Oryctolagus cuniculus: one gene and its partners. The protein of the gene in region 1 interacts with the protein of each later gene in a biochemical or structural test. Links are inferred from orthologs where the notes say so. Each region holds a gene or a part of one and is shown in the gene's direction. Other genes may lie near its edges.

What was found.
Region 2: the proteins of LRP1 (region 1) and PLAT form a complex in vitro, tested with the Homo sapiens proteins (2 studies listed by BioGRID). The link is inferred for Oryctolagus cuniculus from reciprocal best matches to the Homo sapiens genes LRP1 and PLAT.
Region 3: the proteins of LRP1 (region 1) and LPL form a complex in vitro, tested with the Homo sapiens proteins (3 studies listed by BioGRID). The link is inferred for Oryctolagus cuniculus from reciprocal best matches to the Homo sapiens genes LRP1 and LPL.

The regions. Positions count from the first base shown.
Region 1 is NC_091442.1:59,783,367-59,787,011, forward strand, and holds part of LRP1 (prolow-density lipoprotein receptor-related protein 1), read left to right. Parts: intron 1-2,513; coding exon 2,514-2,636; intron 2,637-3,645. UniProt on the Homo sapiens protein: Endocytic receptor involved in endocytosis and in phagocytosis of apoptotic cells. Required for early embryonic development. Involved in cellular lipid homeostasis.
Region 2 is NC_091433.1:92,381,179-92,384,823, reverse strand, and holds part of PLAT (tissue-type plasminogen activator precursor), read left to right. Parts: coding exon 1-130; intron 131-516; coding exon 517-602; intron 603-1,153; coding exon 1,154-1,349; intron 1,350-1,463; coding exon 1,464-1,600; intron 1,601-1,759; coding exon 1,760-1,900; intron 1,901-2,437; coding exon 2,438-2,604; intron 2,605-3,645. UniProt on the Homo sapiens protein: Converts the abundant, but inactive, zymogen plasminogen to plasmin by hydrolyzing a single Arg-Val bond in plasminogen.
Region 3 is NC_091439.1:2,934,829-2,938,473, reverse strand, and holds part of LPL (lipoprotein lipase precursor), read left to right. Parts: intron 1-2,151; coding exon 2,152-2,331; intron 2,332-3,496; coding exon 3,497-3,608; intron 3,609-3,645. UniProt on the Homo sapiens protein: Key enzyme in triglyceride metabolism.

The DNA.
Region 1 (3,645 bases):
CCCCCACCCCCCACCCCCAGGGCCCCACCAGGAGCAGTGGGGATGGGGAACCAATCCCAGGCCGGGGGAGGGAAGAAGTGCAGTGGGTCTGGGGGTGTCATGGGGGCCCATTTCTGGGCTCCAAACACCCCATCTGCCTGTGAGTCCCAGTACAGCCCCCTCTCCGCTAGCCGGCTGGCCAGGGGAAGTGGATGGTTCCCCCGCATGCTAACTAGGCTGGCGGCTGAGTTTCCCGGGAAGACCTCACAGCTGGCCCAGTGGGGCAATGAACTCAGCATTATCCACCTCCTCAAGGGGCCTTTATTCCCGGCTTGGGGGGGCAAAGAAGGGGGGGCGCCATTGGGGGGGCCTGGCCAGGCCATCCTTGATGTGTTTCCTGAAGTCAGCTCTCTGGCTCTCGTTCTGGCCAGGGGCCTGAGTGCTGTCCCCTCTGCCAGAGATGGGGGCTCCGGAGGGAGGACATCTCCGAGTGGCCCCCGTCAGACTCCCTCTGCACTCGGAGGCCTGATGTACTTGCCTTGGGCATCTGCCTTCAGCCTGCTCTCCCCTTAGGTGTGGCCAGCTGCCTTTCCTCCCAGAAGGCTGTGGCTCTGAGCAGGGGAGGGGGCTTCTCGCCCTTCCTTGGCACCCTGGTGCCTAGTGCGGGGCCTGGCACAGAGCTGGCCTTCAGCGTGAGCCAGCGGAATAGAAATGGAATTGACACAGGCCAAGGAAGAACCATGAAGGGACTGGAAGGCTGGGAAGCCAGCCCTGGTGTGGGTCGAGGGGGCAGAACGGCTCAGTGGGAAGGGGAGACTGGTGTGGACCACGCTGGCTGAGAGCTTAGAGTCAGCTGCACCAGTCTGAGCAGTGGTTGTTTTGTTTTTTAAGATTTCCTAATGTATTTGAAAGGCAGTTACAGAGAGAAAGATCTTCGTACCCTGGTTCGCTCCTCAGATGGCCCATGGGACTGGGCAAGGCTGAAGCGAGGACCCTGGAGCTCTGTCTGGATCTCTCCTGTGGGTGTCAGGGCCCCAAGTACTCTGGCCATCTCTTGCTGCTTTCCTAGGAGCACTAGGGAGCTGGATCAGAAGCAGAGCAGCCAGGACTTGAACTGGTGCTCTGACGTGGGGTGTTCTTGTCTCAGGTGGCAGCTTCACCCGCTGCACCCCAACGCCAGCTCCTGAGCCCTGGTTTTGTCATCAGCTTTGTCACTCAGGGCAAGTCATCAGGCTTGGTTTCCCCCTCTGGGAAGTGGAGGTGTTCATTGCCCCTCCTTTATCACACAGTGGAGAGGATTAAAGAAGGTATGTGGAGGGAACTGGTTTACCAGTTGCCAGCACATACCGATACCACCATAGTAAGAAGTTGGCTGGTCGCATTCTCAATTGCTCCTTGGGGAATGAGGTAAGAAAATGGGATAGGAGAGGAAAGAGGCTGGGGGCAGGAGGTGGGAGTTAGGTCAGAGGTCCTGGATACAGAAACTTCACAGGTGGGCTGGGCTGAAGCCAGCTCCGAGAGGTCATGCCAGCTGTCCCCCTGCCTCTGCCCTCCAACTCCATCATCCTGAGCAATTCTCCAGTGCCTCTTGTGTCTGAAAACATCTTCTTAAAGTGCTCCCTGAGGTGTGAGCAGCCAGGGAGGCTGTGTCCTTGGAGAATGGAGGTGGAAGCAGGACTCTCGGCCCTGACCTGCCCAGCCCTGCCTCACCTTGCCCTCCTAGACCTGTGTGTCTCCACATTTCTGCAGACTGTGACAGTTCCGGTCTGGGGGCCTGCTGATGAGAGTTTGGGGTAGGTGGGGTGATGGGTCAAGGGACCAGCATCCTAGGAGGTTAGAAAAGACCAGCTCTGGGGGCCGGTGCTGTGGTGCAGAGAGTTCAGCCGCCTCCTGTGACACCAGCATCCCATGTGGGCACTGGTTCAAGTCCTGGCTGCTCCACTTGCAATCTATCTCTCTGCTAATGCGCCTGGCAAAGCAACAGAAGATGGCTCAAGTGTTTGGGCCCCTGCACCCACGAGGGAGATCCAGATGTAGTTCTGGGCTCCTGGATGTGTCCTGGCCCAACCCTGGCTGTTGCAGCCATCTCAAGGGTGAACCAGTGGATGGAAGATCTCCCCCACCCCCGCCCCATCTCTCTGTAACTATGGCTTTCAAATAAATAAATCTTCAAAAGAGAAAAACCAGCTGTAGGCCTTTTAAGTGGGAGTGGCGGGGAGATAAGAAGAAAACATGTCAAAGGCCTAAGTGACCCCCTCACGTTGCCAGGGGTGGGGCGGGGGAGGCCGATGTATGACCTGAGTGACTGCAAACAGCAAGGGCCTTGACCAGAGAGGCAGCCCGGGGTGGGGGAGGGCTGCCCCCTGCACAGATACATAGCATCCAATAGCAACCATTCCCCCAGGCCCAGGCTGTGGCTCAGGTCCGGCTGGATGGGGACCATACTGGCAGGAGGGGGAGCCTGGGGAGCTTCAGGGCCACAAAGCCAGCCTCCACCTTCACTGACACCCCCTCTCTTCTTTTCTTACCCCCAGCCCCTAAGACCTGCAGCCCCAAGCAGTTTGCCTGCAGAGACCAGATCACCTGCATCTCGAAGGGCTGGCGGTGTGATGGCGAGAGGGACTGCCCTGACGGATCTGATGAGGCCCCTGAGATTTGTAAGTGCCAGCCGGGGATCCCCGAGCCTTGGCCCTTTGCTGACTCCTCTCCCCTTGGCAGGTATCTGGGACGGTACAGCTGCTCTCCGGCTCGGCGTGGACCTTGCTCCGTGCTGTGTTTGTCCATGACACAGCTAAAACTGTCCTCTCCCCCTCTTCCAGGTGCCCGGTGTGCTGCATGGGGTGCTTAGAAAGGACACCTCTCACTTCTCCCCCAGCCAGCTGCCACACCCCCAAGGCTGCCAGGGGCTCTGTTCTGTGGGCTGACAGCTGTGCTGGAGGGAGGTGGCCTGGCTTCCCTTCCTTCTTCCCACCTGTGAGCCTCCCTGACCCCTGATAAGTGGCCCCAGGTCCTACCGGTCCCTTCTGTCTTTGGCTCCCAGGCCAAAGGCCACAGCTCTTGCTCAGCCTCTGTACCAGAAGCCCCACCCCTTATGCGCTTCCCGCCACCCGGCCTTCCCCTGCCCCCAATAAGTGGTGTAATCAGAGGCAGCTGTTTAAACTGGGAGAAAGGTCCCCACCCAGGCTTTCCCCTGCCAGTGGGGGGTGGAGGAATCTCTGGCAGGACCTCAGAGTCAGGGCAGCTGGCAAGGTCCTGGGGTCTCATCCTCCCAGCCACTCCCCCACATAGCTAATCTGGGCCAGGGTCTGGACGCCGCTGCATCCATAGGTCTGCGTCAGTGTCTCTGTTTTCTTTCTCGGGCTTCTTGCTGCCCTAGTCCCATCCCCTGTCCTCTCCCCACACCCCCACCCGTAATTATCAGCGGTAATTTTAGGGCCGGAAAGGGAGCCACTGGTTCCCTCAACCTCATTCCCACATGGTGCCCTGGAGGAAGGGGCTGGGGTGTTTGGCCTGGAGTCTCCTCCTGCCTAAGGCCACCGTCACCCCTCCACATTGCTTTCTTTTTTTTTTTTAAAGAGTTATTTTATTTACTTGAAAGGCAGAATTACACAGAGAGGAAGAGAGAGAAAGAGAGAAAGTCCATCCACTATTTCATTCCCCAAATGG
Region 2 (3,645 bases), on another chromosome or scaffold:
GCACCCACAGCCTCACCACGTCGGGTGCCTCGTGCCTCCCGTGGAATTCCATGCTCCTGGTGGGCGAGAAGTACACAGCGCGGCAGAGCAACGCAGAGGCCCTGGGCCTGGGCAAGCATAATTACTGCAGGTGCGTGGCCTGGGGTGTGCACTGGGAGAAGTCAGGGCCTGGGGGCTGACAAAATAGCCGGCGGGCGGGTAGGAGCCTGTGCACCTGCTAGTCACACCTGCTGTGAAAAGCAAGGCACAGCAGTGTTCCAGCCAAGACCCCGGGCTCCTGGTCAGCCCGCCATAACCACTCCGTCCTTAGCTGTCCACTCCTCCCCCACTGCTTTGATTCTACGGACTGAAAGCGTTCGTTCCCAGAAGCGCTCCCGGCGCCTGTGAGAGCAGAACGTGGTGGGGTCTGCCCGTCCCCGGTTCTGCTTCTGGCCAAAGGTTTGGTTTGCGGAGCCTTTGTCCTCTTCCCTGTGCTGCGATGGAAAACTTCCACCTCCTCCTTCCCTTACCCTCCAGGAACCCAGACGGAGACTCCAAGCCCTGGTGCCACGTGTTGAAGAACCGCAAGTTGGTGATAGAGTACTGCGACGTGCCCCAGTGCGGTAAGGGCTGGCGCGGGCCCATCTCACTGATGCGGCTCCTGGCTAACAAGCCGCCTTCACCCATTCTCCTGGCCATCTCGGGAGATGGCCTTAGCTCCCGCAAACCTGCAGATGGCCTGCAACGTTCCTCAAGGAACACAGGGTGGACCGGGGATGGGAAGGCAGAGGACTTGCAACCTAGGGCACTCATGGTGGGTCCTCAGGGACCGTAGCCCCAGGCTCACTCCAAAAGCTTTGCGAAGACCTGGAATTCACCTGTGCCTTGCACGACAGGTAGGGTTCCATAGGTGGAGAACGAGGAGGGGCGTGGCCGTCCCTCCGAAGGAAGCTGCCTCAGCCCCTCCCGGCTGCAGGAACAAGTTAGAGGGAGGAAGCCCCCCACCCCGAGAGCTGGAGTCCTCCAGACGCGGGTGCGAGCTGGGTTCCCTGGCCCTTGGCGGCTTCCTCCTCCAGGAAGGCACACGTGATGCGTGGCAGACTGACTTTTCTCACCATGAAGACCGCGCTGGGCACCACAGCCCTCACCTCCGTTCTCATCCCTTCCTCCCCAGCCACCTGTGGCCTGCGACAGGACAAGCAGCCCCAGTTCCGCATCAAAGGGGGGCTGTTCACCGACATCACCGCTCACCCCTGGCAGGCGGCCATCTTCACCAACAACAGGAGGTCGCCCGGGGAGCGGTTTCTGTGCGGGGGTATCCTGATCAACTCCTGCTGGGTTCTGTCTGCTGCCCACTGCTTCCTGGAGAGGTAGGTGGGCCCGGCACCCGCCCCTTCCCCCAGGAGACCGTCTTGTCTCCTGTCCCAGGTCTTGGCACCGGGCACCTGCCTGGAGCTGGCTTCCTGAGGCTGTCCCTCCGTCAGGTTCCCACAGCAGAAACTTAGGGTGATCCTGGGCAGAACGTACCCCCTGGTGTCGGCAGAGGAGGAGCAGATATTCGAAGTGGAACAGCCCATCCTGCATGAGAGATTTGATGAAGGCACCTACGACAACGACATCGGTACGATGCCCACGGTGCAGGCTGTGTCCACACACGCTCCTCCTCCTCCTTCCCAATCCAACCCCCAGCCGAGGGGAGGCCGCTCCCCACCCCCCCAATCTCCCCTCCCCGCCCCGCCCCCGGCTCATCCTTTTCCTCCTCCCTTCCCATTGCCCCCAGCGCTGCTAAAGCTGAAATCCACTTCAGGATCCTGTGCCCAGGAGAGCCAGGCCGTGCGCCTCGTCTGCCTGCCCGACGCCAGCCTGCAGCTGCCCGACTGGACAGAGTGCGAGCTGTCCGGCTATGGCAAACACGAGGAGTGTAAGTGCGCCGGCAAGCCCCGCACCCATTGTGTCTGCTAGGGCGACCAGGCAGGCCCAGTGCGCGTGCGCAGCAAGCGCCTGCGTCCGCCCTCTCTACCACACGGGGTCGCTGTGCCCATTAAGAGAGCACGAGGTGGTTGAGGCTTATGGGGTGGGGGATGATGGCCTTGTGCAGACCCAAGTTCAAACCCTACGTAAGCCTGGACATGAATTTCTACAGTAGTCGGCTCCAAGTCTCAGTCTCCTCACTGGTGGGATGAAGAAGGGCCTGGCTGTCTGCTTCCAAGATGAGGCTTAGCTGAGATGGTAGCAGGGGGAGCCTGTGGTTCTCCCCTGGGGTGATGTTCCCACCCCCACCACCTACTGTCTGGCCCAGAAACAGCGCTGCCATGAGGCAGCTGTGGGTGCAAACGACAGTCCTGGCAGTGGTTTGCGACTCCACCCAACAGGTGTAAACGCTTGGTTAGCTCTTGTAGGAAACGTTGGCTACGCTTCCCTGAAAACCACCAGGCATTTCCCCCGGGTGTCTTTGCAGTTTCGCCTGTCTTCTCCGAGCAGCTGAAGGAGGCTCACGTCCGGCTGTACCCCTCCAGCCGCTGCACGCCCCAGCAGCTGAAGAACCGAACCGTCACGGGCAACATGCTGTGTGCTGGAGACACGCGGAGTGGGGGGGCCCAGGTGAACCTGCATGACGCCTGCCAGGTAAGCGGGGCGGGGGCGGCTGGGAGGACAGGTGCAGCCAGCCAGGAGTGAGTTCCCTGGGGATGCCAGATGAGGGCCTCAGAGAACAAAGCCCTCGGAGGAGGATCGAAGCCTGCTAAACTCAGGATTCTAAAGCGCGGAAGGTCCCCCCCCCCAGCCCCCATCCCGCGTCTGCACAGGAAGCTCCGCCCACTGCAGGATTTCCTGTAAGCACAGACGGCCAGGTGCTCACTGAACTGATGACCGGAGCACCGCGATGCTGAGCTCTCGACTTCTGGGGCTGCCAGGGAATGGAGTCAGCTTGGCAGAGGGCAAAAGAGGGAGCAGTGTAGTAGCACACAGAGTTGAGGTGCTCGGTAGGAAATGAGTTTCAGAAACTCCTATTTCACCCTGGTACCTGGGGAAGCAAACTGTTTTGGATTCTCTGTGCTTTTTTTTTTTTTTTTTTTTTTTTTGGTTGAAAGGCAGAAAGATCTTCCATCCACTGACTGGTTCACTCCCCAAATGGCCGTAGTAGCTGGCGCCACGGCTCACTAGGCTAATCCTCCACCTAGCGGCGCTGGCACACCGGGTTCTAGTCCCGGTCGGGGCGCTGGATTCTGTCCCGGTTGCCCCTCTTCCAGGCCAGCCCTCTGCTGTGGCCCGGGAGTGCAGTGGAGGATGGCCCAAGTGCTTGGGCCCTGCACCCCATGGGAGACCAGGAGAAGCACCTGGCTCCTGCCATCGGATCAGCGCGGTGCGCCGGCCGCAGCCCACCGGCCACGGCGGCCATTGGAGGGTGAACCAACGGCAAAAGGAAGACCTTTCTCTCTGTCTCTCTCTCACTGTCCACTCTGCCTGTCAAAAAAGAAAAAAAAATGGCCGTAGTAGCCAGCGCTGGGCCGATCCAAAGCCAGGAGCCTGGAGCTCCATCCAGGTCTCCCATGTGGATGCAGGGGCCCTAGGACTTGGGCCATCCTCCACTGCTTTCCCAGGCCATAGCAGAGAGCTGGACTGGAAGTGGAGCAGCCGGGACTCGAACGGGGATTATGACCTAGGATG
Region 3 (3,645 bases), on another chromosome or scaffold:
CTGAGGTTCTGAGGCCTGGGCCATGGGCCTGTGGCTCAGTTTTGTGTCTGGGAATCAACAATTTTTAAATCAGCACAGATTGAGTGAGCCTCAGATGAAAAATGTAGAAATTAAGACCTCTCCTGAGTTGAAGAGGGTGGTGCTTGGCTTCTCCAACCCCTTTGTTTGGGGTTCCTAACATCCGTACTTGGTGTTGAATCAGAGATGGACGGAGCAGCTAGATGAGTTGCTAACGCCATCAATCCGGGTATCAGTCACCGTGAGTGGAAGCTGGGAGACTGGCCCCCAGAGCCCGCCTGACCGGGGAACTCTGAAAGCATAGAAAGCTTACAAGTGGGGCCTCAGGCTGACAGGACCCCCCTGCCTTATTGCGGTGTGGAGCTGGGATGCAAACACACAGGTGAAGGGAAGTGAGAAGCCCCCTGCCCACTGCTCAGCACGTGGTCGGTGTCGGTGTCGATGCGGCCATCGCTTGGATTTCAATCGCCGCAAGCCCAGCCTTTTCACTGTGGAGTAGGAGGAGCACTGGATGTTGCATTCTTGAAGCCATGAGGTCATCTGCCCTTGGTCTTCAAGGCAACTGCAAACGGGAGCTGGTGTCCCAACCTGGGGAGGGAGGAAAGAGTGGGCCAGGGCCACTCCTTCTGGGTTTTGCGCTTGCTGAGTTCCCTGCGAAACCACTTTGCTTCCAGACCTGCAGCTGCCTCCCTGAGATGCGTTCAAAGGAGCTTGCATCACCCCTGTGCTTCGTCGTCTTTGGTTTTCCTCCTGGTGCCTATTTACTTTCATCTACTTGAAAGACAGAGCGAGAGCGCACGCTTGAGAGAGAGAGCAATCTTCCGTCTACTGTTTCACTCCCTAAATGCCAGCTGCAGCTGGGGCTGGGCCAGGCTGAAGCCAGGAGCCTGAAATCAATCCAGGTCTCCCACGTGGGTGGCAGGAACCCAAGTACTTGAGCCATCACCTGCTGCTTTCCAGGGTGCGGTTAGCAGGAACCTGGACTGGAAGCAGAGGAGCTGGAACTTGAACTGGCCCTCCAGTGTGGAATTCGGGTGTGCCAAAGGGATGGCTTAACCTGCTCATCACAAAGCCTGCCCATGCTTGGAACAGCTGTCCGCCAGCATTTTATCTCTGCAAGTAGGCTGGGAACCGGAATGATCACACGCAGAAATGTAGGAGGTTGGACTAGAACTTCAAGATCTTCTGAACCCAACCCGTTTTGTTTTATAGGTGGCCTGGGCAGGTTACAGCAGAGCCTACGTTTATAGAAATCATTGGTGGGGGCCTTGGATGGAAACCTAGATCACCTCGGTCTTGGATTTGCTTTTTTTCTGCCACAGAGCAAAGCAATGAGATACAAAAGTGTGCAATTTGCTCTGTGATGGGAGTGGAACTGAGCTCTGCTTTCATAGGTTTAGTCTGCTAAGCAAACAGCAAGAGCCTGCGTCTGACAGATCCACCGTAGGAGATCCAGTGTCAAAGGAAGCCCCTTGGAATGGGAATCCCACCCATATGTTTCTATTGAATTTCATGAAATGCAGTCCAGCTTCTATACTTCTCCCCTTCAAAGGTGCCTGCCTAGAAACATGGATTCAGAATCTTCTCCTTGATTTAATACATAACTGAGTGACCCCGCTGTGACTGCAGTATGACTTCCTCTTGTATCATTCACTTCAAATCCAGCTCCCTGCTAATGATCTGGGAAAGCGGCAGAAGATGGCCCCAAGTGCTTGGGCCCCTGCTACCTACATGGGAGACCCAGATGAAGCTCCTGGCTGTTGGCTTTGGCCCAGCTCAGCCCATTGCAGCCATGTGGGGAGTGAGCCAGTGGATGGAAGAGCTCTCTCTCTGTCTCTGTCTCCTTTTCTGTAGTCTGCCTTTCAAATAAATAAATAAATCTTTAACAATAAAGCAAAATGAAATCTGCCATTCCTGAACCCAACACACCCCTTTTGTGGCACATGCATATCTATCTCAAACGGGCAGGCACAAGTCTGAAAACAAATTATCATTTGGGGCTGGCTTTTTCTTTCTGAGCAATGGGCTTCCTTGCAGGTGTGTTTTCTCCGTTTAATGTAGGTGTATCGGGCTGAGGGGTGTGTGCTGTGTTGCCGGTGGGTGTTTTAAGAAAGTTTGTCCCACCCTCTTCAGGTGACGGGCATGTATGAGAGTTGGGTGCCGAAACTTGTGGCCGCCCTGTACAAGAGAGAACCAGACTCCAACGTCATTGTGGTGGACTGGCTGTTACGGGCCCAGCAGCACTACCCAGTGTCTGCAGGCTACACCAAGCTGGTGGGAAAGGATGTGGCCAGGTTTATCAACTGGATGGAGGTAAGAGTGGGAGACAGGGTGGGCTGTGTCCAGAGGTTTTGCTAGGGTGAGATACGAGGCTGGCCACGACCCTTTGCACTTAGCTGTAGGCCCTGGAGTAAATTCCCATCTTCACTGGGAGCACAGCCTTGTGTGTAAGCCTGAAGCAGCATTTGGAGAAGAATGAAAAGATTCCAAAGCCAGCAAATTGTCCTGCCCTGCCCTGTCCTTTGCTATTTTGTGCAGTGAATAGATCTGCTGAGACCAAGAACTAAGTGGGCAGAACAGAGAAAGAGCTTGTTACTTCAAAACAGAGGGAAGGAGGCACGCTGGGCCAAGTCCTTTCCGCCAGTTGGCCGGCACGTGGAGACTGTAGCCTGGCTTTGACTCCTGTTGGAGCAGCAACTGTTTTGACAACAATATTAGTAGTATTTATTCCTTAGGGTGGATTAAAGACTCAGATTCTTGCTGGTGCTGGGGGATGATGGGATTGAGCTGGAAGGACCATAGCCTGTTAATTAAGGAGGCTGTGCTGGGGGGTGAGGGGGGTGAGGCCTGAAACAGTGCATGGAAAATGAACTCTGAAGGGAAGTTGGTTGGGGAACAGAAAGTTTTTGAAATCCATGCATACAAGGGGCTTTTTAAAAGCTCATGGAAATGTGTACTATGAAGAAATGATGTGTGGATTTCAAAAATTGTTTGCACAAAAAAAAGTTATTCTCTAATTCTATTTTTTCCCCATAGACTGAGTAGTGTCTCTGACCTCCTTCCATTGTAAGTTATTCTTGGCTAACATTGGAGAGTCAAGTGGTGCAGTGTGTTTAGAAGAGTGAGTTGGGGGTTAAGTTCATGATCTTTGTACACGTCTACAGGGGTGTGTATGCACACACACACATACTCTACACAGACCTGCATATGCACACACACACACACATATTGTAAAGAAAATAATTTCCAACATATGAAAACACTTTCTGAGTTAAATTTAATGTTAAAGAAGAGAACATCCCAGCACTAGAAATACAGATCTCTCTTTCACTTGTAATAGAAAATTAAAATAAGTGAAATTGTGTTTCAGCGTTGCCTATATTTTGAGAATAGTGTCTATATGCATTGTCTATCTTTAGCTTTTAATCTTTGTTGAGGAATAACAACACTTCCTTTTTCCCCCTCTTCTCTTCCAAAGGAGGAATTTAACTACCCCCTGGACAATGTCCACCTCCTGGGCTATAGCCTGGGGGCTCACGCTGCTGGCATTGCTGGAAGTCTGACCAACAGGAAAGTCAACAGAATCACGGGTAAGAAAGCAGTGTCCCTTGTTTCCACCAGAGTTGA